Linked DNA regions of Sus scrofa. The protein of the gene in region 1 interacts with the protein of each later gene in a pairwise test. Links are inferred from orthologs where the notes say so. Each region holds a gene or a part of one and is shown in the gene's direction. Other genes may lie near its edges. The genes, in order: SRPK2, FXR2, RNPS1, U2AF2, SNIP1 and ZSCAN9.

The links.
Region 2: the proteins of SRPK2 (region 1) and FXR2 interact in binary tests that used the Homo sapiens proteins (3 or more experiments, as listed by UniProt). The link is inferred for Sus scrofa from reciprocal best matches to the Homo sapiens genes SRPK2 and FXR2.
Region 3: the proteins of SRPK2 (region 1) and RNPS1 interact in binary tests that used the Homo sapiens proteins (3 or more experiments, as listed by UniProt). The link is inferred for Sus scrofa from reciprocal best matches to the Homo sapiens genes SRPK2 and RNPS1.
Region 4: the proteins of SRPK2 (region 1) and U2AF2 interact in binary tests that used the Homo sapiens proteins (3 or more experiments, as listed by UniProt). The link is inferred for Sus scrofa from reciprocal best matches to the Homo sapiens genes SRPK2 and U2AF2.
Region 5: the proteins of SRPK2 (region 1) and SNIP1 interact in binary tests that used the Homo sapiens proteins (3 or more experiments, as listed by UniProt). The link is inferred for Sus scrofa from reciprocal best matches to the Homo sapiens genes SRPK2 and SNIP1.
Region 6: the proteins of SRPK2 (region 1) and ZSCAN9 interact in binary tests that used the Homo sapiens proteins (3 or more experiments, as listed by UniProt). The two-hybrid records come from large-scale screens. The link is inferred for Sus scrofa from reciprocal best matches to the Homo sapiens genes SRPK2 and ZSCAN9.

The regions. Positions count from the first base shown.
Region 1 is NC_010451.4:105,261,890-105,266,046, reverse strand, and holds the start of SRPK2 (SRSF protein kinase 2), read left to right. Parts: upstream 1-1,357; 5' UTR 1,358-1,372; coding exon 1,373-1,499; intron 1,500-1,778; exon of another isoform or gene 1,779-1,932; coding exon of another isoform or gene 1,933-1,948; intron 1,949-2,038; coding exon 2,039-2,093; intron 2,094-4,157. UniProt on the Homo sapiens protein: Serine/arginine-rich protein-specific kinase which specifically phosphorylates its substrates at serine residues located in regions rich in arginine/serine dipeptides, known as RS domains and is involved in the phosphorylation of SR splicing factors and the regulation of splicing.
Region 2 is NC_010454.4:52,900,458-52,904,690, reverse strand, and holds the start of FXR2 (fragile X mental retardation syndrome-related protein 2), read left to right. Parts: upstream 1-1,433; 5' UTR 1,434-1,655; intron 1,656-4,233. UniProt on the Homo sapiens protein: mRNA-binding protein that acts as a regulator of mRNAs translation and/or stability, and which is required for adult hippocampal neurogenesis. Specifically binds to AU-rich elements (AREs) in the 3'-UTR of target mRNAs.
Region 3 is NC_010445.4:39,737,888-39,741,857, forward strand, and holds the start of RNPS1 (RNA-binding protein with serine-rich domain 1), read left to right. Parts: upstream 1-1,170; 5' UTR 1,171-1,478; coding exon of another isoform or gene 1,479-1,480; 5' UTR 1,481-1,870; exon of another isoform or gene 1,871-2,308; intron 2,309-3,970. UniProt on the Homo sapiens protein: Part of pre- and post-splicing multiprotein mRNP complexes. Auxiliary component of the splicing-dependent multiprotein exon junction complex (EJC) deposited at splice junction on mRNAs.
Region 4 is NC_010448.4:59,772,761-59,776,989, forward strand, and holds the start of U2AF2 (U2 small nuclear RNA auxiliary factor 2), read left to right. Parts: upstream 1-1,429; coding exon 1,430-1,478; intron 1,479-4,229. UniProt on the Homo sapiens protein: Plays a role in pre-mRNA splicing and 3'-end processing. By recruiting PRPF19 and the PRP19C/Prp19 complex/NTC/Nineteen complex to the RNA polymerase II C-terminal domain (CTD), and thereby pre-mRNA, may couple transcription to splicing.
Region 5 is NC_010448.4:93,609,370-93,613,664, reverse strand, and holds the start of SNIP1 (smad nuclear-interacting protein 1), read left to right. Parts: upstream 1-1,495; 5' UTR 1,496-1,588; coding exon 1,589-1,812; intron 1,813-3,508; coding exon 3,509-3,611; intron 3,612-4,295. UniProt on the Homo sapiens protein: Required for pre-mRNA splicing as component of the spliceosome. As a component of the minor spliceosome, involved in the splicing of U12-type introns in pre-mRNAs. Down-regulates NF-kappa-B signaling by competing with RELA for CREBBP/EP300 binding.
Region 6 is NC_010449.5:22,080,640-22,084,874, forward strand, and holds the start of ZSCAN9 (zinc finger and SCAN domain-containing protein 9), read left to right. Parts: upstream 1-1,435; 5' UTR 1,436-1,643; intron 1,644-2,931; 5' UTR 2,932-3,003; coding exon 3,004-3,420; intron 3,421-3,592; coding exon 3,593-3,740; intron 3,741-4,235. UniProt on the Homo sapiens protein: May be involved in transcriptional regulation.

The DNA.
Region 1 (4,157 bases):
CATGGTTCCTAGTCGGATTCGTTTCCACTGAGCTACAACCGGAACTCTGTAGGTTTGATATTTTTGAAAATAAAAAATTGAGAAAGTAAAAAGCTCTTCAGATTCAAGCAGTGCTGTTCCAGCGGGTTTAGCATCTTTAAAATAATCATACTTTTTTTTTTTTTTTTTTTTTTTTTTGGTCTTTTCTAGGCCCACATCTGTGGCATATGGAGGTTCCCAGGCTAGGGGTCTAATTGGAGCTGTAGCCGCCGGTCTACACCATAGCTCACAGCTCACAGCAATGCCGGATCCTTAACTACTGAGCAAGGCCAGGATCAAACCCGCAACCTCATGGTTCCTAGCTGGATTCGTTAACCACTGAGCCAGGATGGGAACTAGCATCTTTAAAATAAATATTTTATTTATTTATTTTTGTCTTTTCTAGGGCTGCACCTGTGGCATTTGGAGGTTCCCAGGCTAGGGGTCTAATCAGAGCTTTTGCTGTTGGCCTAAGCCACAGCAATGCCAGATCCGAGCCGCGTTTGCAACCTAGACCACAGCTCACAGCAACGCCAGATCCTTAACCCACTGAGCGAGGCTGGGGATGGAACCCTCAACCTCATGGTTCCTAGTCAGGTTCGTTAACCACTGTGCCATGATGGGAACTCCATAAAATAAATATTTCAGAGCAGCTATTCTGATCAGTTAAAACTACAGATGATGGAGTTCCTGTTGTGGCTCAGCAGGTAAAGAACCCCGAGATAGTGTCTCTGAGGATGTGGGTTTGATCTCTGGCTTTGGTCAATGGTTTAAGGATCCATTGTAGGGGTAAGCTGCAGTGTAGGCTGTGTATGAGGCTTGGATGCAACCCCTAGCCTGGGAACTTCCATATGCCCCTGGATGGCCTTAAAAAGAAAAAAAAAGAAAAAAAGCGCAGTTGAGATTAAATGGTCAGGATGAATCTCTTTCAGAAATATAATTATTTAAATGAACAAGGGACCTCTGCAGTTATTTTTCTCACAGTCATCTTGATTAGGAAACATGATGCGTGAGTTTGGAGTCAGCTAGGCCTAAATTTGAATCATTGCTGGGTAAACCTCTTCAGGACTGTTTCCTCTTCGTAAGATGGAGAAAGAACTCCTTTGGTGGGTTGTTGAATTAAACTGTTACCTATGGTATTTACAGAGCTGGGCTTTGATTCGTGTGCAAACACTTAATTCAACCTTCCATGCTATTTGCATCGTTTCCTTCATCACACTCGAGCAATCCTCTGGGGTAAAGGTGAGAAATAAGATGACTTTTCCAAGGTCACACAGCTATTGAAGGACCCAGGTTTCCCAGCTCTTGGTCCTGTGCCCTTTACACACTCGCCGGAGAGGAGGGAGCGGCGCTCATGGGGATGCAAGGATGTAGAGGAGCAAAGGGGGAAAAGAGGCCGCGCGAGGAGAGGTGGTGTGAGACCCATGGAGGCGCTGGCCCAGGAAAGGCGCATGGAGAGGCGGGCAGCGCGTCGGGCCGGGGTAGGTAGAGGGGCTATGGCTCGTGGCCCTATGCCGGGGAGAGGAAGGAGGCCTGGGCCAAACGCGGGGGCGCAGGAGCCGAAGGCCCAGACGGCGGCGGGGGCGGGAGCAGCGGTGGACGTGGGGGGGGGTCATTTTCGCCCAGGTGAGTCAGGCGGGTGGGTGCAGGTGGGTACGGGTGGCGCGGGAGGGACAGCGCGGAGGGTCTGGACCCCACCGGGTGGGTGGGGGCGGGGCGGGGGCGGGGCCGGCTGGGGGCGGGTCTTGCTGGGCCCCCAGCTGGAGCGGCAGCTGCGGCGGCGGCGCAGGCGCGGTCCCCGCCTCCTCCTGGCCGGCAGAACGAGTGGTGGCTGCATCCCGGCTCGGCTCCCGCGTCGCCGCCGCCGACGCCGCTGCCGCCGCGAAGCCCCCTCCCCGCTTCCGCTGCGTCGCGATGAGCTCCCGGAAAGGTGAGTGGCCCGTGGCGTCCTCTCTTCCCTGCCACGCGGCCCCTGAGGCCGGTCTGCCCGACCGTTAATGTGTGTCTTCTCTTTCCTCAGTGCTGGCCATTCAGGCCCGAAAGCGGAGGCCGAAAAGAGAGAAACATCCGAAAAAGTGAGTCCACGCTGCGCTAGTCTCCGGACCCCCGCCCCTGCCCGGTCGGGGGTAGCCCGCGGCCGCGCAGGGGAAAGTTGCTCGGGTCCCCGGGGCGGGCGAGCGGGCGGGCTGATCCCCCGGGACGCCGGCGCTCGCCTCCAGCGCGCCCCGCGGGCTGCCCGGGGGGAGGGGCTGACGGTCGGGGGAGGGGCGCGCTGGCCCGCGGCCAGCCCGCTGAGCATCCCGGACCCTCGGCCCCTTGGGTCCCAAGGCACAGGGGGCTGACGGACGAGGAGGCGCCGGGCGTGCGCAACGTCCCCGGCTCGCCGAGCTGTCCCGGGGGTCGCGGGCCTTCCTGGGAGGGGCGGTGGCGTCTGCAGGCCGGGCCCGGCCCCGCCGCGCCGAGTGCCGGCGTGAGGCTGCGGCGTTGCTCCCACCTGGCCACCTGGGCCCTAGAGGAAGAGGAACGGAGTGTGAGAAAGAGTGTGTGTGTGTTGGGTGTCTCCTCCTCTTCCTCCCCGGCCCCCACCTTTCGGCCTTTCAGCTGAAAACCCGAGCTGGTTGTCAAGTGGTTTGCCTCGGGCGTGTTCCTGGCTCGAGTTCAGCTCCGAGACCTGTGCGTTTCGGCGCTTGGGTTTTTTTCCGAAACTTTCTGCCCGGGCCGAGCGTGCCTTCACTGCGCGGCGGCTGCGCCCGGGTCTCCGGCTGCGCGGGACCGGTGGGCGTGTGCGCGGGCGGTCCTCGGCGCGGCTGCCCAGCCCCTCATTGTGCTGGGAGGCGACGAACGGGGTGGTGATATTTAAAACGTGCCAGCCGCCAGCCACCCCCAGCCTGGCCGCGGACCGGAGTGGGAGCGCCCGGCGCTCGGGAAGTCTTTCCTGGAGAGCTGCTTCGGGACCGCGGAGCGCCGCCGTGTCTCTCCCTTTCTTTCCTGGTTTTGAAGAATCTATCAGCGTTCAACATCTTTACTCCTTCTCCCAGATTTGTGGCTTCCCTCTTCCATTTGAGCAAGAAATACCCTGTGTTAAATTTGCTACTATAGGGATAGCCCATCATCATCTTTAAATAAAATCACGAAATATTTCTTGTTTGTTTTCTTTAGGGGACGAACCTGCAGCCTTCCTAGGCTTTTCCCCTTCCTATTAGCCTTGATTTCTGCTTAGCGAATTTCACACCCATTGGTGGCGTCTATGAAAACTGCCTAAGTCTTTACTATTAATGTAATGTATCGTGATAGGATTTTTGTTCATTCAAACCGGAATATAACTTGAAAGTATGTTCAGCATTTCACAAAATGTCGTAGCAACATCATAATGCCTTAAAAAAAAAAAAAAGAAAGAAAAACCTACTAGAGCGAGGAAGAAGTACTTATTAAGGACTTAAGGAACTGGTGGGTAAAAATTGGGTATTACATTCTCGAAACGTTAAATAGCAATGGATATTTGATAGTTTTAGATGCTTTAAAAATTAATGCTCTCAATCAGAACCTTACATTAGGCATTTCTTTTGGTGAACGACGGAAAGCCCATAAGTAAGGACTGTAATGTTTAGGATCCTGAGTGTTGGGTTTGGAGCACAACTTTCAACTCAAAGAGTTTATTCCTGCATAGCCCCTTTTTTTTTTTTCAGAAAAGTTAATAGAAGTTGAAAAAGACATGCTGGGAGTTACCCTTGTGGCGCAGCGGAAATGAATCCGGCTAGTATCCATGAGAATGCAGGTTCAGTCAGTGGGTTGGGGATTCTGCGTTGCGGTGAGCTGTGGTGTAGGTCACAGACACGCTCGTATTCTGCGTTGCTGTGGCGTAGCCCAGCAACTACAGCTCCAATTTGACCCCTAGCCTGGGAACTTCCATATGCCGTGGGTGCAGCCCTAAAAAGACACCCCCCCAAAAAAAGAAAAATGCATGCCTTTTTTTTTTTTTTTTGTCTTTTTTGCTATTTCTTGGGCCGCTCCTGCGGCACGTGGAGGTTCCCAGGCTAGGGGTCCAATCGGAGCTGTAGCCACCGGCCTACGCCAGAGCCACAGCAACGCGGGATCCGAGCCGCGTCTGCAACCTACACCACACAGCTCACGGCAACGCC
Region 2 (4,233 bases), on another chromosome or scaffold:
TCCTTAACCACTGAGCCACGATGGGAACTCCTAAATCTTAGGATATTATACTACTGCTTAAGATCTTTCAGTGGCTCCCCAGTTTTGATAAAAGAGAGCTATTCTCCATAATCTGATTTACAAGTACTTCAGGGTGTAGCCAAACGCTCTGAACTAGTTGTGGTTCCCCAAAGGACATGTTCTTTCTGCTCCTCTGCACCACTGTATTCCTTTATCACATCTTCAGATGGACTCCATGCGCTTGTTTGTTTAAACTTGTTTAACTGCCTGCCTCTTCCTCAATATGTTATAAAATCCTTGTTTTGGGGACGTTATGTCTTTGTATCTTTACCACTTAACACAGTAATTGGAACACAGGGAGGGCTAAATAAATATTTGTTAAATGATTAATTGTACAACACAGGATTCTAGTTTCTGGGCTATTTTATTCACTTCTACCTAAATTTCTTACTTACCTTGGTTTAAGAATCCAAAGTTTTCCCTCTACCATCCTTTCTCTGTACTAATATTTCCTATTTTGAATATCCTCAACACTTAGATTCAAATCTTGTGCTAATAACCTAAGTTGCATTTGCCTTTTGGTACTGCCTTGAAATTCTTTTCTAACCTTTCATCATATGCATGATCAGAATCTTCTTAAGGCAAGAAGACTTTAACCTCATCGCACAGTTACAGGCGATCAGAAGAGTCCAGACTGGCGTGTGGACCGTAAAACCCGGCGCATGCGCACCAGGCTCTTTTTTGGGGGGGCATTTCGACTTTTTTTTTTTTCCCATTTGGAGCGTGCGCACCAAGAAAGACAAAGGTGGGGAAAGTGACCAAGCAATCATTCAGGCGCATGCCCATCCCTAACTTGTTCAAGCCCGGTGGAGTGCACTGTGGTGAAGGGGGTGTGGTCTGACCTGGAGCAGCAGAAATCCAATCCGATTGAGTGAGCTCGGTCCCTCCCTCCCCATGATTGGTTAGCTCTCAGTGTTGTGGGGCGGGGAAAGGAAGAGATGGGGGCGGTGGAATGGTGGGGGGGACGGAGAAAGAGAGCCAGTCTGGTTCTGCGCAAGCGCAAGTACGCGACCAGGAGGGGGCGCGAGAGAGTGAAAAGAAGTGTGGAAGCCCTGGTGCGCTGGCGAGCGCGAGCTGGGTCGCCAGCCTTGACGCCTGCGCCGTGGCCCTCGGGGCCCGCGCGCGGCGGGCGGGTGCCCGGTGCGCCTGCGCAGTAGGCGGCGGCGGCAGGGGGAGGTGGAGGCCGTGGAGCGGCAGCGGCAGCAGCGGGTCCCGGGACTGAGGCAGCAGCGGGGGCGGCGGCGGGCGGAAGCTGAGGTGACGAAGGCAGCGGCGGCGGCGGCCGATTCCCTCACGGTGGCGGAGACCAAGGCGGCGGCGGCGGACGGGGAGCGGCCCGGCCCCGGCCCCCTGCTCGTTGGCTGTGGCAGGGCCGCCGTGGGGCCGGCCCGGCTCCCGCCCCCCGCGGCTCCCCCTCCGGCTCCTCCTCCGGGGAGACGCCGGGGACCTGGCCCGGCCCGTACTCAGAGCGCTGCTGCAGCCGCCGCCGGGGGAGTCGGAGGCGGTGGCGGCGCCATGGGCGGCCTGGCCTCGGGGGGGATGTGGAGCCGGGACTGCCCGTCGAGGTGCGCGGCTCCAACGGGGCCTTCTACAAGGTGAGGCGGCGCGCCGGCCAGGAACGCGGGTCTTCAGCCCCTTCTCTCCAGCCGGAGCGGGGAAGAGTGGGGCGGCATTGAGGTTCTGGAGCTAAGCCCCGACCCTTAGAGCCTTAGACCTGCTCCCACCCGCAGCCCTCGGGGTGGTGGGGGGGGAGACCTCTGGAACTTAAACCCCTTCGTCTTATGTTTGGCCCGTCTATTCCGCCTGCCTTCACCCGCATCTCAGGAAAGAACATCAGGGTATTAATTGTGCTTAGATCAGCGCCCCCCCCCCACCTCCCAGAAGAGACCCCATTTACCCAGCGTCTCATTGACTTTTCCTGTCTCCTAGTAGAAGACATACCTTAGATCTTCATCACGTCTTCCCCACAGTCCTAGCACATGGAGAATTCTCTTTATTCTCCCCTATTGCCCCCTTGGGAAGGCCGTCCCATATTAGATCCTTTCATCTTCCTCGGAGAGGCCTCTGCCTACTGGCTCTGAAAGACTCACCCCACTTTCATCTTATATTTCTGTTCCCAACCCAAGGAGAAACGGTCAGAATCTGTTTATGACATTTAGTATCTTTGACCTCAGGAACTCTGGGCTGTACCAGTCAAGTTGCCTCGTAGCCATAAGGTGGCATCTTTTCACAAGTCTCTCACCCCACCCCTTTATTCCAAGATTAGCTGGTCTACCGTTCTCCCTAGGGGTGGTTTTGTGTTTGTCATCTCACTTTGACCTCGGATACATTTAGATCCTTCGGATAGTTTCATCCTAAGGAGTGTGAGCTTCATAGCCCTGATCTCTAAAAGGGGCTCTCATGAGGATTCTCTGTTTATTTAAAGCATTTCTTTCCACTTCTGGAAGACTTTTAGCCAACTCACCCAATTTGGGAATCTGATAGCCTTTTTTTTTCTTTCTTTCCTTTTTTTTTTTTTTTTTTTTTTTTTTTAGGAGCAGCTGACTATCTTTAAAAGATCATTGTTTACTTATTTCAGCTCCCTCCGTTGCCTGGGATTTGGTTTTTTAGAACTCCTTTTATTATCGCCTTCTTTATCTGTTCTGAATCCATTTTTTTTTTTTTGTAGGAGGGGTTTTCCCACTTAGATTAAGCCAGAGGGAGACCCCAATTGCCTCTCAGGCATTTTTCTTTATGTGACTGATCTTACTCTTGTTATTTTGAACCTCTTTGGACTTTATGCCTGCAATTGTTCCAGAGACTTTCCTGATTCCTGTCTTAGTCTTTCTTTTACCCTGAGGAGCAAGCTCAGAGATACCTTTTTGTAACATCACTTTTGAGGAGAAGAGCCCCCCTTTCCTTCAATTTCCCCCAAGCTTTTCCTCCTATAAGAGACGTCTCCAGCTTTGTGCCCTTGGAAATGACTTTCTCCAGCTCCTTCCCTGTGAAGTCATATCTTGTTATAACTGGAAAGGGTCTCATATTTGCCCTTGGAGTAGAAAGTTTCTGCCCCAGCTTCACTTGGTAAGTTCAGTGTAGTCATCTTTTAACTGAGTCCAAATGCCTGTTTATTTCTGCCTTACTTTCCTCACCATTTTTCTTTATATTCTTCAGTGCCTTTAGTTACCCACAGTCCATCTTATCCTCTCGATTTAAGTCTTGCTTTTTTTATCCTAATATTTCTATATTCCTGTGTAATCCCAGGAACTACCTATTCCATTACTCTCTTGAAATGGGAGAAGGAAGCTCCCAGCTGATCCCTTCTGTCATTTTTTTCTACATACTTTCCTAACTCATGGGACTTTTTCTTCTAGCCTTCCTCTATTGCATTTGTTTCCCTTGGCAAAGTCTCTTAATTCCTTTCAGATTCTGATAGAGTACATTTGTCTCTTATATCCTTTTCCCCAAAACTTGTATTACCTTTGTTGAAATAATAAATTTTAGCCTTATTTCCCACAGTATCTTGTCCTGCATCTGGGTCCTTGCACCCCCAAGAAAAAGGATTCTTAAATTGAGTCTGAGATCAAGATATGATGTTTGCTTTTGTTCTAAGAAGCATAGGAGCCAAGCACAGCGGGAGAGATTGATAACCAGTTCAAATTAACTGTGTGAGACTGCTGGGAAGTCCTTTCCACATCCAAGTGTCCAAGAGAAAATCTCTACATCTTTCCCTTTTTTCCTGTGGGCTATGGCAGTGATAGTTGTGATTGAGTGAATTGGGGATAGGATGCTTTGAATCTGAGAGTAGAGTTCGGAGTTGAACTGAAAGCCATGCAATGTGGATTTTGTGTTCTGGCCACTTAGCATTTTCTGCTCCACGCTGCAGTTGAAAACAATAGATCCTTAAATTCAGACTAGGCTTTCTTCAACTTTCAGTGCCATATAGATACTTACCCAATCTGACCTTGTTACTGATTTAATATTCATGACTCAGCAAACTTCACTGTGGTTCAAGGAGTCTTCACGTTGCTTCTGGAACTATATATTTGGGAAGGTTCTTTTCATCGGTGTCAGAATTGGGTCTTGTTGTTGATCTTCTCCCAGGATAGAACTGCAAATGTCAGATTAGGGATCTGAGTTTTCTTATAGCTATCCCATCAACTCTTCCTCTTCTGTCAGAACTTAAGGTATCTT
Region 3 (3,970 bases), on another chromosome or scaffold:
CCTCCTGCCTGGTCCTGGGCCTCTAAACCTCACCCTCTTGCCGTTGCCAGGAGGCTCTGGCAATGCCTCCCCGCCTGCGCCGTCCACCAGCCCCGGGATGAAGCCTTGGCGCCTTATCTTGCACACCTTCCAAGTTCCCCCCAAATGCTAAACTCCACCTTCCTAGCCCCGGCTTCTGCCAGCAAGCCTCTGCGCCTTTGCACCTGCTCTTCTCTCGGCTGAGGGCACCCTTCCACTTGGGTCTCAGCTGCAGTGTCACCTCCGCAGAGGCGCCTTGACTTCTGCACCTAGTCTTCTCTTTTTATTTTATTTTATTTTATTTTTTGTCTTTTTGCCATTTCTTGGGTCTCTCTCGCTGCATATGTTGGTTCCCAGGCTAGAGGTAGCCGCCGGCCTACGCCAGAGCCACTGCAATGCAGGATCCGACCTGCGCCTGCGACCTACACCACAGCTCACGGCAACACCGGATCCTTAACCCACTGAGCAAGGTCAGGGATCGAACCCACAACCTCATGCTTCCTAGTCAGATTGGTTAACCACTGAGCCACAATGGGAACTCCTTCTTTTTTAAATTTTTAATGTATTTATTTATTGTCTTTTTAGGGCCGCATGTGCGGTATTTGGAGGTTCCCAGGTCAGGGAGCGAATCGGAGCTGCAGCTGCCAGCCTACGACACAGCCACAGCAACACCAGATCCCAGCCGCGTCTGCGACCTTACATCACAGCTCATAGGCAACGCCGGATCCTTAATCCACTAATTAAGGCCAGGGATCTAACCGGCGTCCTTATGGACTGTAGTCAGACTTGTTTCCCCTGAACCACGACGGGGACTCCTGCACCTCGTCTTCTACCCTGTCTTTTGCTGCCCGTCCTTTCTGACGGCACTACCCCGTCTTACCCACCCGGCCGAGTTCCGCTGGAGTAAAAGCTGCGTCTGCCTGGCCACTCCCTGAGAGGCTTCTAACCGCACGAACCCTCTGCCCGGCCGGTCCCCACGGCGGTCGGCTAGAGGCCGCGGCACCTGCGCACTCCTCCCCCAACCCCGCCGCCCGAAACTCCGGGTCTCAGGCCCAGCGCCCACGGACCGCACCAAGCCCGCGGCGAGCCTAGGACGCAGGCGCACGGAGAGGGGCAGGGCCGCCTTAACCCGCCCCGCGCCGGCCCGCGAGCTACCACGCAGCACGGCCCTCCCAGCCCCAGCAAGCTGCCAGTTTGCCCGCCCTATGCGCCGCGCAGCCAGCCCCTGGCGGCCCAAGACGCCCCTCCCGAGAGGGGAACCAAAGTACGCGCTCCAACGCGGGGTGCTACACACGACCTTGGCTCTTTAACATTCTCCTTGCTCGCGCTCATTGGCTGAGGCGCTCTACGTCATCGCTGCGCGCCGGACGACGGCGCCTTCCCGCTCCCTAATCCTGACGCCAGAGCGGCGCCGGCCTCGGCGGCTGAGGAAAGCGGGAGGAGGTCTCGGCGGCGGGAAGATGTAAGTTGCGGGAATCCGACCCCATCCGAGCTTCGGGGGCCGCTCGCCAAGGTCGGCGGGGTGCATCGTGAAGCCGGCCCTCTCCCCGGCCCCGCGGTGGCAACGGCGGCCTAGCGGCGCGGTGTAGTTCTTAAGAAGAAAGAGTGGCCAGAGGAGAGCTGAGTAGGAGGCGCCGAGGCCGCGGCCCGGAAGTGGTCGGGGCTGCGGCGGGCGGAAGGGCGCCCTCGCTTCGTCTTCTCTGCGGCGGGCCCAGGGAGGCCCGCGGAATTCGGAGCAGCCGGGAACTCGGCCTCCACCCTCAGGGTCCTCTCGCCGGGCAGGAGACCCAGGCCCGCAACGTCAGGCCCTGCCCTGGAAGCTCTCGCGGCCCGGCGCCTGGAGTGGGGAGTTGTGAGTCTACGCGGACAGGGGGCGGCGAGGTCGCGTTGGGCCCGGGGCCGGTGGGTGCAGAGTTGCTTTGTGGGGTGCCCTGGGTGACCGTCTGACCTTCCTTTTGAAGATCTTGCTTTAAACATGGAATCCACGAACATTTGTCGGACTCCTGTGTGCCGTTCTCGGTGCCCATCTTTGGGGATATGGCCCTTAATGCCTTGGAGCTCTGTTTCCCGGCTTGCCCCAGGAGGGAGGGTACGGGAAGGTTAAATATCAGTGGAGAAGAGATGTGGCTTTTTGCCTTTGTAATTTCGCATGAATATGCCTAAAACGTACTGTTCAGCGGGGAAGGGGCTCTGAAGATACGACCTGAAACGGTAGCTACTCGAGATTTAACTAGTTGTTCTCTCCTCTCTCTGGCTGTTGGACTGCGCAACTTTCCGGAGGATGGGGGAGGTAACCAGAGTCCTGTGCTGTTACCTGAACTTGTGTAAACAGAGAACGTCAACCATTGCTTTCTACCACCTAGGCCTCGCCCAGCGAAGCGTTTACGTACTCTGTGGTTCTTAACTTTCCAGAGTTTTAAGAATAACTTGCTAGATTTTTATTTACAAAGTACATTAGGGCAGATCTTTAGGCCTGGGGTGGGGCCCAGCAATCTGCACTCTGTCATCTGTTCAGTAAGGTTGGTTCAGTAATTGGCCACGTGTGGATATTAGGCACTTGAAACATACCCAGCCCAAAGGGGGGTGTTTAAAAGACTTGGTATGGGGAGGCGTAGATATTTTGTTAACACACTTGGATACTGATTGGTGAAAAGATAATATTTGGGGTATAGGGTGTCAGATAAATACATTACTAAAAGTTAACTACATCTGTTTCTTTTGTACTTTTTGCAAACGTGCCTGTTAGCAAAATGTTAGGGTACTCTTTCTGTTGGACCAGACTGCTCTTGGTGATCCTCTCTTGAGCATTCAGAGGTTGTGTGCGACTTTTATTTAGAGTCAGGAGTTTTTATGGGGAAAGAGCCTCCAGCGCCTTTCTTCTGAAATTAGCTGAGGTTTATTGAGCCTTAAGTAGGTGCCAAGTTTCTTTTATGGGTCAGTTTGATTTATGTCTTTGATAACTATGAGGCGTAGACTGATGAAAAATTGAGGCTAGAAAGGTTAGGTGATTTATCCAAGGTCACACAACAAAGCTCTGAACGAAAGCCGAGCAGGCTGACTCCACACTCTTAACCATTGAGTTAGACTCAATGAGTGTCTGAGGACTGACTTATCCCAGCTTGCCTGGTCCACATCTCCTGTACCGTATTATTTTAAGACTGAGCATTTTAAAAGACTGTAGCCCTGGAAAAGAGCAACAAAGGTGATGTTCTCTTTTGTATTCTCTTTGATTGTCCAAAGCTGGACACTCTTGAGTCAGTGATTATCCAACATTTTGGCACCACTGCAGACTTAGGAACAGGCTCCAAATTAGTCGGCTGTGTCCGTCCAGGTGACTTACAGGCTGTCGGGGAAGGTGAGGTGGAAGTAGTAGAAGCTAACATCCTAAGATCTCTGCTTAGAACTCAAGCAAATCCTACAAAACTTGACTGGAACCACAAAAGGCAACAGTCCCCAGGAAACGGGACCCACAATGAACTGGTAGTTGGTTCTTGAACGGTATTTACTAATGATCATTTACTGAGTACATACTGCAGTCCAGGCCTTTTGCTGAACCATCACTTACAATAACTGCGTCAATTCCAGTGTCTGCTTGTTTCCCTCCAATTTTATTTTTGAAAAAATGTGAACACACAGAAAAGTTGGGAAACTTTTGTACAGTAAATAGCCACATAACCGGGGCCACCTAGAGTCTACAATTTACATCTTTGCTGTATTTGCTTTATGTCATCCATCTTATTTTGTCTCGGGTATACCTCTCCATAACATTTCCATGTGCATATGCATCTTTAATATTTGCAACGACTGCTTTTTAATGTATTGTTCTCATGCTTTTTAACTGTTCAGAGGGGACATTTCACTTGTTCGCACTGAGTATTAAATGTTGGGGGTGGTTGTTGCTGGTTTGTTTGGGGGGATTTTTTTGTGGTTTTTTTTGTTTGTTTGTTTGTTT
Region 4 (4,229 bases), on another chromosome or scaffold:
TGTGCCCTGAACAACTCGGAGGAGCAGAACTCCGGGAAGGAGGCATGAGCCGACTTGGACCAGAGGCAAGGCGGCAGAAGGCGGGACTCAATGACTTTTGGGAGAGGCGACCATCGAGGGGAGCGGGGAGCTCTGAACAGAGACTGCCTCCAGGAGGCGGTAAAGCGAGATTCTCTGTCTCCCGGAAGTGCCCGCTGCGTGGCTAGCAGCGTCGGCGCGGTTGGGGGGGGGAACGCTCGCTTGTGTGGTTGCCACGGCAACCGCAAGGGGGCGGCCTTGCTCAACGGTCGGGAATGTAGTCCCTTCCCTGGAGGAAGGAAATCTCGCGCACGCGCGCTCGGGCTGTGGCCCCGACGACCCGCCCCCCCTCTCCGAACAGTGAGAGGTCTCGGTTCAGACCGATCTCTACGCAGGCGCAGAGGCTCTCTCGCGCTCGCCCCTTCCACTTTGCGCATGCGCACAAAGCCGCGCTGGCAACCTCCGCAGCAGCCGCGCGCACTCTTCACTCCGCTGGCTGCTTTTGTCTCGCGAAACCTTCTTAGGCGCTTCTCAACATCGGTCCTTCTTTTCCTCCCATCGCCCCACAGGGAGAGCCGGGTGCTGAGAGCCGAGACCCTGCCTCTTCTTTTCCTTTCCCCTGACCCACCTCGCCTCTGTCCTCCCTCCCTTTTTGGTTCCCGGAGCCGGAAGGAGCCGAAGCGCCCACGGAAAAAGCCGAAGGTGTCTGCTGTGAGTCCTTCCCCAGGCGGTGGCGGAAGGAGCCGAAGTTCTCCGAAAGGGGGAGGAGGTTGCTCTTGGAATCTCCGGAAAGAGCCGAAGTTTGGAAACGGGTTTAATCTCTGGTTGGGCCCGAGGGGGAGCGCCAGAGACCTTCGGAAAGTGCCGAAATCCGGGACGGTTAGGATTGTCGGAAGTGGCCGATTGCTTGGACAGGGCCGTTGGGAAAGAGAGGGTAGAATCCGTGGAAGCAGCCAAAGACGGACGGTTTGAGTTCTTGGAAGAAGCTGAATTCTAAGTGGGGAGTCTGGGTGCTAGGAATGCGAGGACCTACGGAAACATCCGAACGTTGAAGAGCTACTATCCGAAAAGTTACGAAAACCTGAGAAGCCTGCGAAACCCTCGCTTCGGGTGTTTTCGGAAGCAGCCGAAGTCGCCTCTCCCTTCGCTCCTCCACGGTCCGGAAATAGCCGACGCGTTTCGGAGCCAGGCCCTGGGGGGAGGTGCGCCTCGTGGGCGGGCCGGCGGGGAGAGGGGCGGAGCCGGGGCGGGGCTGGGCGGGCGGCAGGGGCTTGATTAGGTAGGAGGCGGTGGAACGCCGGCGGCGGCCGGAAGTAGCCGAAGCAAGCGGCGGAAGTAGCCGAAGCGGCCGGATCGGGCGCGCGGCAAGGCGAGGCGAGAGCTACACAGGGCCCTACGCGGCCGCCTCAGCATGTCGGACTTCGACGAGTTCGAGCGGCAGCTCAACGAGAATAAGCAAGGTGAGGGCGCCGGGGGTGCGGGGCGGCGGGCGGGGCGGCTCTCGGCTTCCCCCTGTGTCCCCCGCCATTTTCCCCCTCGCTTCCCCCCCTTAGGCCCGCACGGCGCCCCCCCACCCCGCGGTGCGCGCCTTACTCACGTGACCGCCCGGCGTGCCGCCGCGCGGGAGGGGAGGGGGCGGCGGGCGCATGCGCGCCGCGTTCGGTTCCGCGCCCCACGTGGCCCCCGGCGCGGGTGGCGCGGGCGCCGCAGGCTGTCGGGAGTCCGTTGCGGACTTATTTTCTATTTTTTTAATTTGGAAAGGAGATTATGTAGATTGGGTCCCGCAACCCCTCCTTTTCTCCCGATGCCCTCGCACTTCCGCTTCCGGCCGGGCCCGCGGCCGGTGTCTCCACGCCCCCTTTGTTCCAAAATGGCGGTTGGAGCCCCCCTTCACGTGGGCGCATGCAGGGCCGCGGTGTGGGCCCTTCTCGCACCGCCGCCCTTCGCGCCTTTCCTGGGGGCTAGTCGCCGGGGTCCCTTCCAGCCTAACGTGGGTGATGCGGTGTCTCCTGGGAGAGGTCCGCACTGTGCGTTTTCAGTGTTCCTCCCGCACGCGGTTCTCCCTCGCGCCGTCGCGCCAGGCACAGTGTGGCGTGTCTGCCCCCCATATCTCCTCAGTTAGACAGGTCCCCTGTTCTGTACGAGCCCACCCTCCGGGCGCCGCGTGTGTCCGCCTTTTCAACGTGGCGATAAAGAGACAGGCTCGGAGCGAGTAGGGAGACTTAGCTCAGTTGGGAGGATGGGAGGCAAAGTCCCTCCGGTGATGCGGAGTCCAAGTAGGAGGCCGAGCTAGTGCCGACTAGTTTGGACACCCCACGAATGTTAGAACAAACTTAGGCCTGGAGGAGGTGGCGAGCGCGAGGCCTAAGCTCCTTGTGGTCAGAGGACTGCACAGGGGGCGGGGGGCGCTGGGGTTCCCCTTTCAGCCCAGTCTGCAGTTGGGAGCAGGTGGCTGGTTTAGGAGGAGACAGCGCCTGGGGAAGACGAAGTCGGGTTTCGGAGTGCCCACGGGGTGTCTGTACACGTTGTAACGCTTCACAGCACAGGCTTTGGAGGGGAGGAGACTTGGCTTCTAGTACCTGCTTTGTTGCTAAGTAGTTGTGGAACTTTAACACGTCTATGCTTTTTTTTTTTTTTTTTAATCCTTTTCTTGTGTGTAGTGGCTGTTAAATAGGTATGTGTCTTTATTACCGGTTTCTGGAGTCAATGGTGATGGCAGTACTGATAGTGCTTTGCTAAGCTTTTACACGGCTTATTTAAGTAGATGGTCAACAGCCGTGGGGGACTGACATGACTTCCTTTCCTTTGCAGAGGAGGAAGCAGGCTCAGAAAGCTTGAAAAACTTTCTTTGGTTTTAGCTGGTGAGAGTTGCAGCTGAGGTTAAGTGAGGTAATGTGTGTACAGTGTGTGGCATACGGTCTGGCATTCGTTAAGTGCCTAACGAGGAGTATTGTGAAATGATCCCTAGTGAAATTTCTTAGGAAGGTAATGGAGAGGCTGCCCTGAGCTGCCTCAGAGGTGGTGTCAGAGTTGGGACAGCAGGGAGAGGTGCTTTCCCAGCGTCATTATCCCATGTCCCACACTTGGGGCGGGATGAGCGTCGTTTAAAAGACCGGGAACACTGAGGTTGGAAGGTACGGTTGCTGTTTTGTGGTTTTATGCAGTTGGTAGACAGAAGAGCTGAAGCTGATCCTGAGTCTGGCTGCAAAACCACGTGCCCCTAGGCTGGACTGCTAGATGGAACTGAATGAACCTTCCTTGGGGCACTTGCACACGTGCTGCTTGGTTTCTCTTGGGTGTCCCCACTGGTACTGGCACGTCCCTTGGGCTGGTGGAGTTGTTCCCACAACAAAGTGATCACAGCGTTTTGAGTAACCACAGCTGCCTTTCCTTCCTGACCTGTTTGGGTTGAGGCAGGGAACCTACTGTTGCTTTAAGGGGAAGCTTTGCCCTAGTATCGTTGTGCCTGTGGGTCTTTGTCTCTGTGGTCCAAGCCTCCTCCAAGCCTCAGTCCCTGCCTTGTGCACCTGTGTCTCCAGGGAATTAATTTCCTTGTCTGTGTCTCAGGCACCCAGCAGGCGCCACTTCTTCCTCTGTGTCTGTTCCTCTCTGCCTGCTTGTCTGTTTCAGAACCAAAGCCACAAAAGACGCTGTTTTTATAGTTGGCCCATCTTTCAAGAGTGGAGCCAGAGGCCCAGAGCCTCAGGCCAGCACACCTCTGGGCCCTCAGTGTCATGCTTACCTGCTACTTCATGCTACTTGCCTCCTGGTTCCAGGCTTGGATTTGTTTTTCGTGTTCAGTCTGTGTCTTCAAGGAGGTAACCGCTTGTCTTTAGGGGCTCCCGCCAGACCCTGGAGTGTTCTGGCTGCCCCATGTTGAGTATTGCCTAGTGCTTAACTGCACTTGTGGGCATTTCAGTGTTCACAACTTCCTTGCTTTTTGGCCAGGGGCAAGTCACATGACCTCCCTGAGCCTCAGTTTTCCCATCTGTCAGGTGAGCCTCTAGCAGTGTCTCCCCAAGGTAACAAGATTAAGTTCAAGTAGAGCTAGCACAGGATCTAGTCTTAGGTACCATTGCAGTGTTGGCTGGAATTTTTTTTTCTGTTTTCCAAGGTGCGTGTTTTTCTGTCTTTTAGTGGTTCTGGAGTTTGAGTTCACTTGTGAAAAGTTTTATGTTTAATTGCATCAGAAAAACATGTGAGGCAAAAGC
Region 5 (4,295 bases), on another chromosome or scaffold:
GCTGTGGGACAGGACCTGAGGGTCCAGGCTGCTGGGGGCTGACTTTCAGTAGCCGAGCCTGAGAAGGAAGGACAAGGTGGGACAGGAGGTGATTTAGACACTCAGCTCCACACACTTTGGCAGGCTTTCACCGGGTCACTCGCATACCTCTCCCCCATTCTCAGATCACTCTTCCTCATTAGAAGTTATGTTTCAGAGCTGAAGGAGGCCATGAAGAATCTCTGGTCCCACCCCAACTCAATGCTTCTATCTCCTTGTGCAGATGTTGCTCAGGCCTTTACTTTCTTACCTTTAGAGATGGGGCCAGTCACTATCAGATCTATCCTTGTACACTACCTGGATAGGGCAGGGAGCCCCATCCATCTCTCTGTGACTTTTTTTCCCATCCTAAATCTGCCCTTAGGATCACCCAACATCTGGGCTTCTTGTACCGCTCTCCCACCCTCCTTGCCTGGTCCTAATTCCCTTTATTCCCAGTCACTGCACCCTCTGTCCCTTGGGACTCCCAATCCTCAAGGCAGGGATCTGTCATTCCCCGTGGGAGTTTCCGAGCTCCCCCATCCTGAGACTCCTCCTTACTTTGGGACTCCGTTTCTCCGTGTTGCGGCTCACCAATACCGGGGTATCATACTTGAGCAGAGAGTCGGCGGGGGGGATCATGGCGGCGGCGAGGGTAGCAGCACAGCAGCGACCCTCCTGTCAGGGCAGTGTTTGCCGTCGCCATGGAAACGTCCTTGACATCCTCATGGCCTGGGCGGGGCTTCGAGGCGGGGCGGGGCCAGCAGCTCGAGAGTTTCTTTCTGCTCAACCTTCGAGGAAAGTTCTCCTGCGTTTAGCTTGTCAAGCCTCCTGCTCACCGGGATCGCCTTAGCACTCTTGGAAGCAGGGGAAACTTGAGTTCTGGATCCCTTCGCTGCGTCCAGCTCACGGTTTGAGTAAGGCGCAGATCACTTTCGCTGATCCTGGATTTTGTCACCCGCAAATGGAATCATTTGACTCCTCAGTGAAGGCTGAGGAAGATTCCCAGAGGAAGGCATTTAAAGTTCCCAGGTTTTAAAAAGAGTTTGCCTTTAATGGAGAAATGGCGACGATTTGCCCGGCCGACGATTTGCCCGGGCTACGATCTGTGATTGCATTTCCTTCTCTTCCCCTTTCCTTCGTATTTCCAAACGTAAATGTCATCACAGTCTGCGCACAATTTTGCATCTTGCTTCTTCCATTTAACAAGTCAGACTTTTTTCCATTTGTCGTATAGTTTGTAAATACCATTGCAAATGGTGACATAATCTCTTTTCTACTGCTGGATGTGTAGTTTGTCCCCATGTTTAGTAACTAGTAATAACGCGTCAACAAACAACCTTGAGAGGAGCTTTTTCCCCCCAATTTGTTTTTGAAACCTAAAACTCCCGCCCCACAGAGTCGGGTCCCTAAGGCCCCGCCCACTCGGGATTCTGATCGCGTTATCCGCCGCGAGGGTTTCTGGGAGAGCGCGCACCCGGAAGCGGAAGTCCAGGACTCAAGTCCGTCATTTCCTTCACGGAGAGGAGCGCGACGGTCCTGTTTTTCCTTGGCTCAGCCGTTTCACAGCATGAAGGAGGTGAAGAGCGAGCGGGAGCGGGGAAGTCGGCGAAGGCACCGGGACGGGGACATGGTGGCGGCGGCGACGGTGGTGGTGAAGCAGGAGCGCCTCAGCCCGGAATCCGCGCCTCCTGTCCATCGCCGTCCGGACTCCTCCGGCGGTAGCCCTTCCCCGCTGGCCGGCGAGTCAGGCCGCCCCGGTCACCGCGGGAACCGAGCTCGAGGAGGTAGCCGGTAAGTGGGAAGCAGCCTGGGGTAGACCTGAGGTCGGGCTTTTTGAGAAAGGGGGACAGGGCTGGCACCAGGAGCACACCTTGAATGCTGAGCGCGGCAGCTTGAATTAATCCTAAGGCGATAGAAGTGACCGGTTGTGAGTGTGTTAACGTTTACTCTGATACCTGTTACTTGCGTTATACCTGGGCGTTAAACGCCTAATGCCTGATGGGCAAGTTCTTGCTCCTTCATCTCTGTGTGCTCAGCATTTCTCCGAGTATGGTCCAGCTGATGACAATGATAGTTTATGTTGAAATGAAAGATTTTTCCCACCTGCCTCCAAATGGGGTTATTTTTTCAGTTATCTGCCCCAAGAAGTTTTCATATCCTGAGCCTAGGTGATCTGTCTGATATTCTGGGGGGAAATTGTCTTTTGCGAACAATTTATTCATTCATTCGACATAGTTTTGTCGAGTACTTATTATGTGCTAAAGACCTCATAGGTTATAAAATAATGTGGAAAATAGCTATGTACAATTTTTTAAAATATAAATGTATATGTGGAATTTGAATCAAACTGTAAAATTATACACAGATAAAACTGAAATAAAGAAAATAATGGGAGTTCCCATTGTACCTCAGCAGTAACGAACTGGACTAGTATTCTTGAGGACTATGAGGATGTAGAATTCATCCCTGGCCTCGATCAGTGGGTTCAGGATCCAGCGTTGCCATAAGCTGCATTGTAGGTCGAAGATGCGGCTCTGATCCTGTGTTGCTATGGCTGTGGCGTAGGCCAGCAGCTGTGGCTCTGATTTGACCCCTAGCCTGGGAACTTCCATATGCTAAGGGTGTGGCCCTAAAAAGACAAAAAAAAAAAAAAAAAAAAAAAGGAAGAAAGAAAGAAAAAGAAAAGAAAATATGAGGCAGGCAGGCAGGCCGTCCTGGGTATTGGGGTGGAAAGAATGAGCATGATAGATGATCTCTACCCTGGTGAAACTGAGATGCTCTAGCCCTGAGACAGAATAACAAGGAAATAAAGAAAATAATTTGTTAGTAACAAGTACTAGGGATAGGTTAAGACAGTAATGTCATAGAGAGTGGAGAGAAGTGGTTCTCTGTGAAAAGTCTGCCACTTGACCTGAAACCTGATTGATAAAAATAATCCAGGCTTGTAAAGATCTAATCAGAGAAAACAAGCAGTGCAAAGATCCTGAAGTGGAATTAATTGTGTTCCTTCTAGAAAAGGAGGAGGGGAGGGGATCCGGTATAGTGAGGTGGGTAGGAATGCGGTGGGAGAGAGAAGAGGTAGAGCCTGGAGCCAGAGGACTTGCTGATTGATTGTGAGCGTGTTGGGGAGGAGCATGGGGCCTCTTGGTGGTAAGGGGGAGAAAAAAAAAGAATCTAGGATGACTTCTAGGTTTTTGGCCTGAGGAACGGATGGATAGTGGTATCAGTTACCCTGATGGCAAAGATAGGAAAGTTGAGAGGTGGGAATTTAGCCTTCTCTTATCGAAGTGAGAAGTTTCAATTGGCAGCTACATATGTGGGAGACATTCAGGGCTGAAAAAGTGAAGCTCCTGACTCCTTTAGTGTGATCAGCAGAAGCCTTCACAAATGTGATGTTTGTGTTAGTAGATAGGCCTGATACTTGAAGCTAATTTGTATGAGCGAATGAAAATTGAGATGAAATTTATGTGTACCATTCTCTGAACAGGTCCCCACCGAGAAAGAAAAATAAGTCCTCGGGGAGAAGAAGCAAGTCTCCCCGGAGTAGGAGAAGCCGAAGTCCTCACCACTCAACAGTCAAAGTGAAGCAGGTAAGCGGATTGAGATGTTTTCATACCGGCTCCATCAGAGCTGGAGTGTTGTGTGTGTGTTCACCTCTGCCTGCGGTGGGCTTTTCTAGAAACTGGCTTTTTGGGGTTTTTTTGTCTGCCTGTTTACTTCGTTAAACTAAACCTTTTATTTTGAGATAACTGTTGATTCACCTGCAGTTGTAAGAAAATAATACAGAAGTGGTTGTTTCTCCCATTGGAAGCATTTTACATAATTATAGAACTCTATTCCAACCAGAAAAAATTTTTAAGGGAAAAGTGGTTTTTGTTTTTAATTAAAGTATAGTTTAATGATAGTTCCCTCTGGTGTACAGTAGGTCCTTGTTGATTATCTATTCACAACCAAAATATTGACATCAATACAGTTAACATGCAAAACCTTTCCATCACCACAAGATCCCTCATATAGTCCTTTTGTAGTCATATTCATTTCCTTCGCACCCTTAGCCCTCAATTCCTGGCAGCTTCTCATCTCGTTTCCATTTTGTAATTTTGTCATTTCACAAATATTATGTAAATGAAATCATACAGTATGCAGTCTTATGGGATTGGCTTTTTTCCATTCTGCAAAATTCTTTGCAGATGCATTTAGATTATTGCATCTCTGTAGTTCATTCTTTTTATTGCCGAATGATATTCACTGGTATGGGTTTAACCATTTTCCCA
Region 6 (4,235 bases), on another chromosome or scaffold:
TAGATTGCAGACTCGGCTAGAATCCTGTGTTGCTGTGGCTCTGGCGTAGGCCAACAGCTACAGCTCTGATTTGACCCCTAGACTGGGAACTTCCATATGCCACCAGTGTGGCCCTAAAAAGAAAAAACAAAAAAACAAAAAAACTCCTCTGTAGGGGAATCCTCTTCCAAACAGACAGATGGGAGCCAGTCTTTCTCAAAGCTGTTTAACTACGACATCCACTTGACCCTAGCATGGAACCAGGCTGCTATAGTTGACCTACTTAACACACATAAACCAGTTACAGAGCCAAAGCAATTGCCAGTGAGATATTTGAGAGTTTCATATAAGTATAAAAACTGTTTACTTAAAGAAAAAAAACTGTTTACTTATCAAAGATGTACATCAAAAATGGAAGAGTAGGGAGTTCCCGCCGCGGCTCAGCAGTAAGAAACCAGACTAGTATCCTTGAGGATGAGGGTTCATTCCCTGGCCTCGATCAGTGGGTTTGTGGGTTAAGGATCATAAGCTGTGGTGTAGGTCCAGTGTTGTTGTGGCTCCAATTTGACCCCTAGCCTGGGAACTTCCATATGTCTCGGGTACGGCCCTAAAAAGATTTAAAAAAAAAAAAAGAGTAACATATTTAAAGTACAAGAGAAATTGAGCAATTACTCCCATTACATGGTTCTTAGGAAAGTTGTACTGAGGGCTTTGCAAGTGAGGTATGTTGGAGAAAGTGATTGAGATTTGGGGCAATTTTTCTTTATACTGGTGCTCTAAATGATTACGCAGTTACTGGATATTTGGAAGAAGCTGAAGTAAAGGATAAAGCTTGAGTTTATTTAATGCCCTCACATGGCTAAGCTGTAGAAAACAACTAAAGGTATTTGCACAGCTACAGTTTTAGAGTTAAAAATACATCAGGGTACCTCCATTAACATGCAAGATGCTTTTTTACTGATGCGACGTTAAAATAATAATGAGGTTAAAACAAAGCAAAACATAGTTTAATCTACAAAACACCACTATCCTGGTTGGCATAAAAAAATTGATGAACGACTAACAATACTTATAATTATGCTCTTTTACACCGATGAAGCTAATTTAATTGATTTTGAACCGATTTTGCATTACTGCTAAGAACCCAGACAGCTTTAGTGGCAAAAAATTGGGGGAGGGGAGAGAAATAATTATACATGCAAATCCCAAGCTAAAGGTGATGGTGGTTCCTTTAGGGCGGTGGAACTAGGAACAGGGTAGGATTTCACTTTTTACTTTATTAATTTTGGCATTGTCTGAGGTTTTATAAAAAACCATAGGTAATGGATTAATTTTTTTAATGTTCAAAAAATAAAGCATTTTCAATCATTAATGGTCGGTGCTTCAGCCGTGTTTTCAGTTTAAAACCTGTTTGGGGCTCACACACGTATGAAATTCTGTGAGTCACCGTGGAAAACGAACTGGAGGCCCAGGCAGTTGGGGGTTGGCTCCAGGTGAGGCACGCGCAGGAGGTAGGAACCGAGACCCGGAGTCCTAGACCGGCCGGAAGTGCCTTGCGCGGAGGGCCCCTCGGTGGCGGGCATCTTCCCCGCTGGGCCTTTGTTCCCGGGCGCGCGCCAGCGCCAGGGCGGGAGCCCCCTACCTCCTCGCCTTTTCCAGGCCTAGTGAGTGGGCCCGGGACCGGGGTGAAGTGGGGTGGAAAGGGACTCGCAGCCCCGAGGAGGGCGGGGGGCCAGGGGTGGAGGTGGTGGTGGTGGTGGTGGTCGTCGTCGTCGTGCTCCGGGGTCCTATCGCAGAACGATCCTCCCAGGCTGGAGGGACGTTGCGTGGCAGGGGGCTAAGCGGGGGCTGCCAGGGCAGAAGGTCCCCACCGTGAATAACTGAATAACGGCAGCAGGATTAAGACACAGGGCAGGAAACGCCTGGAGTTGGGGAAATATTTTCCGGGACAAGGAAGTTAAGGACACATATTTTTTAAGACGTTCTGCAGCCTTCCTCATGGACAGCCCCTGTGTATACGCTTAGGTTCTAAAAGCATCTGAAGGGGCGTTGAATGGACCGAGGTTCAAGTGCAGAATATGACATTTTCCGGCTCCCTTTCCCTGAGTTCACTGATTCGCAAACCTTGAAATGCATACAAATTCCTGAGGAGCACCCAAATTCCTGAGATACATAATCAGGGCTCCCTATCCTTCCCCTCCCACCCCCAGTCCTGGGATTCTATTCCCTGGATGTCTGCCAAAGGGCCTATGGTGCTGGAATTCAGCTGCTGGGAGGCACTTCGGACATTTTGGAGACACACCGGCCTCCTGGGTCTCAGGAACCGCCGAGTATCAGATTTCTTCTCCCTTGAGCTTCTGTGGATTCTTAGGACTGTCCTCACCAAGAATTTGACATTAAGCAACCTGCTTAACTCCCCCCACTCCCACCCCGGCCCCATTTCTTATCTATTGAAACAGTGATTGTAAACAAACCTCAGAGGGTAATTGTGAGGCTTAAATATGTGTCTGAAAGCATGTTGTAGACTGTTGTGCAGCGTTGGCTGTTACTCTGAGGAGACAGCAGAGTAGCATGCAAAGCCCACAGGACTTGAAATCTCCCTAAATTTTCCTTTCTGTGAATTAGTGAAAATGAAACCAACCTTAAATGATTGTTTAAAAGACTAATTTTACAAACTCAAGACTTCAATAAAAGTTCATTCACTTAGTCAAAGATAAAACCATTTTTCCATTTATTCTTTCTCTAATTTGACTTTTATACAATGAGTCTGTAGATTTTCCATTATCCCCACCCTTTGGTCACTTTACTTTCAGTGAAGAGCTTTAGAGTCTATGACAATTGTTTATACGATTAGTTCCTATAATTAACTGCTGCTGTTTTTCTACAAAAACAGGGATTTCTTTTCTTTTTTTCTTTCTTCTTCTTTTTTTTTTTTTTTTTTAACTGCTTAAGAGGACACTTCCAAAGGTGTTTCTAAAACATAACTCCAGCTGGTGGGTCCCTTTTAAGCTATTCGAGATCAAGATGACAGACCCCAAGGAGGTTTTATCCCTGGATGTTCAAGCTCCTGAGGTTTGGGAAGAACTTCTGACACTGAAAGTGGAGGCAGAAAGTCACTTCCAAATGCAGGAATCCAGGCTGAAACGAAATAACCCACTGGCAAGGGAGATCTTCCGAAGGCACTTTCGACAGCTCTGTTACCAGGAGACCCCTGGACCAAGGGAGGCTCTCACCCGACTCCGGGAACTTTGCTACCAGTGGTTGAGGCCACATGTGAGCACGAAGGAGCAGATTCTGGATCTGCTGGTGCTGGAGCAGTTCCTATCTATCCTGCCCGAGGAGCTCCAGGGCTGGGTGAGGGAGCGCTGTCCAGAAAGTGGGGAGGAGGCAGTGATTTTGCTGGAGGATCTGGAGAGAGAGCTCGATGAACCACAACATGAGGTAGGAAGGGAGATCACCAGGGAAAAAGGTTTATGGGTGTCACCAAGGACCCTTGTGATCCTCCACTTTGTATCCCCTTGACTTTGGTGATTAAATAAGACCCTGATTTCTGTTTCTTTCTGGAAACAGTTATAATTTCTTCAGAAGTCAAATCTTGTCTCTTTGTTTCTAGATGGTAGCCTACAGACTTGGACAAGAAGTCCTCCCTGAAGGGACAGTGTCTCTAGGAGAGCAAATGTCACTGGGCCTCCAGTCCCAGCCTAAGGAGCCCCAACTCACATGTGACCCTGCTCAGGAGCCCCAACACATTGGAGAGACAGGTGAGAGACAGGATTTCTTTGGTGTTGAACATATCCCACCTGGTCGAGCACAAACCAAAAAGCCAGAACTGGGAAACCAGGGATATAGAAGATACTAGCAACGCTCAGTGCTTCTGACTGCCTGGTGGGCTCATCCTTGTCCCCTTCGCCTGCACTCAGTCTTTCCCTGAGTACCATCCTGGAAACTCTCTGGTCTTGGTTCAGGAATCACTGTGAAGAACAGCTTTAGAGAATGGACTTCAGGGTTTTTTGTTTGTCTGCTTTTGTTTAAAATATTTATGGCCGCACCAGCAACATATGAAAGTTCCTGGGCCAGGGATTGAATCCAAGCAGGAGCTGCGACCTACACTGCAGCTGGAACAGTGTTGGATCCTTTAACCCACTGTGCCTGCAGAGGATGGAACCCACGGTTCCGCAGCAACCCGAGCCCCTGCAGTTAGATTCTTAACCCACAGCATCACAGCGGGAACTCTGACTTCAAGGTTTGACAGGTTC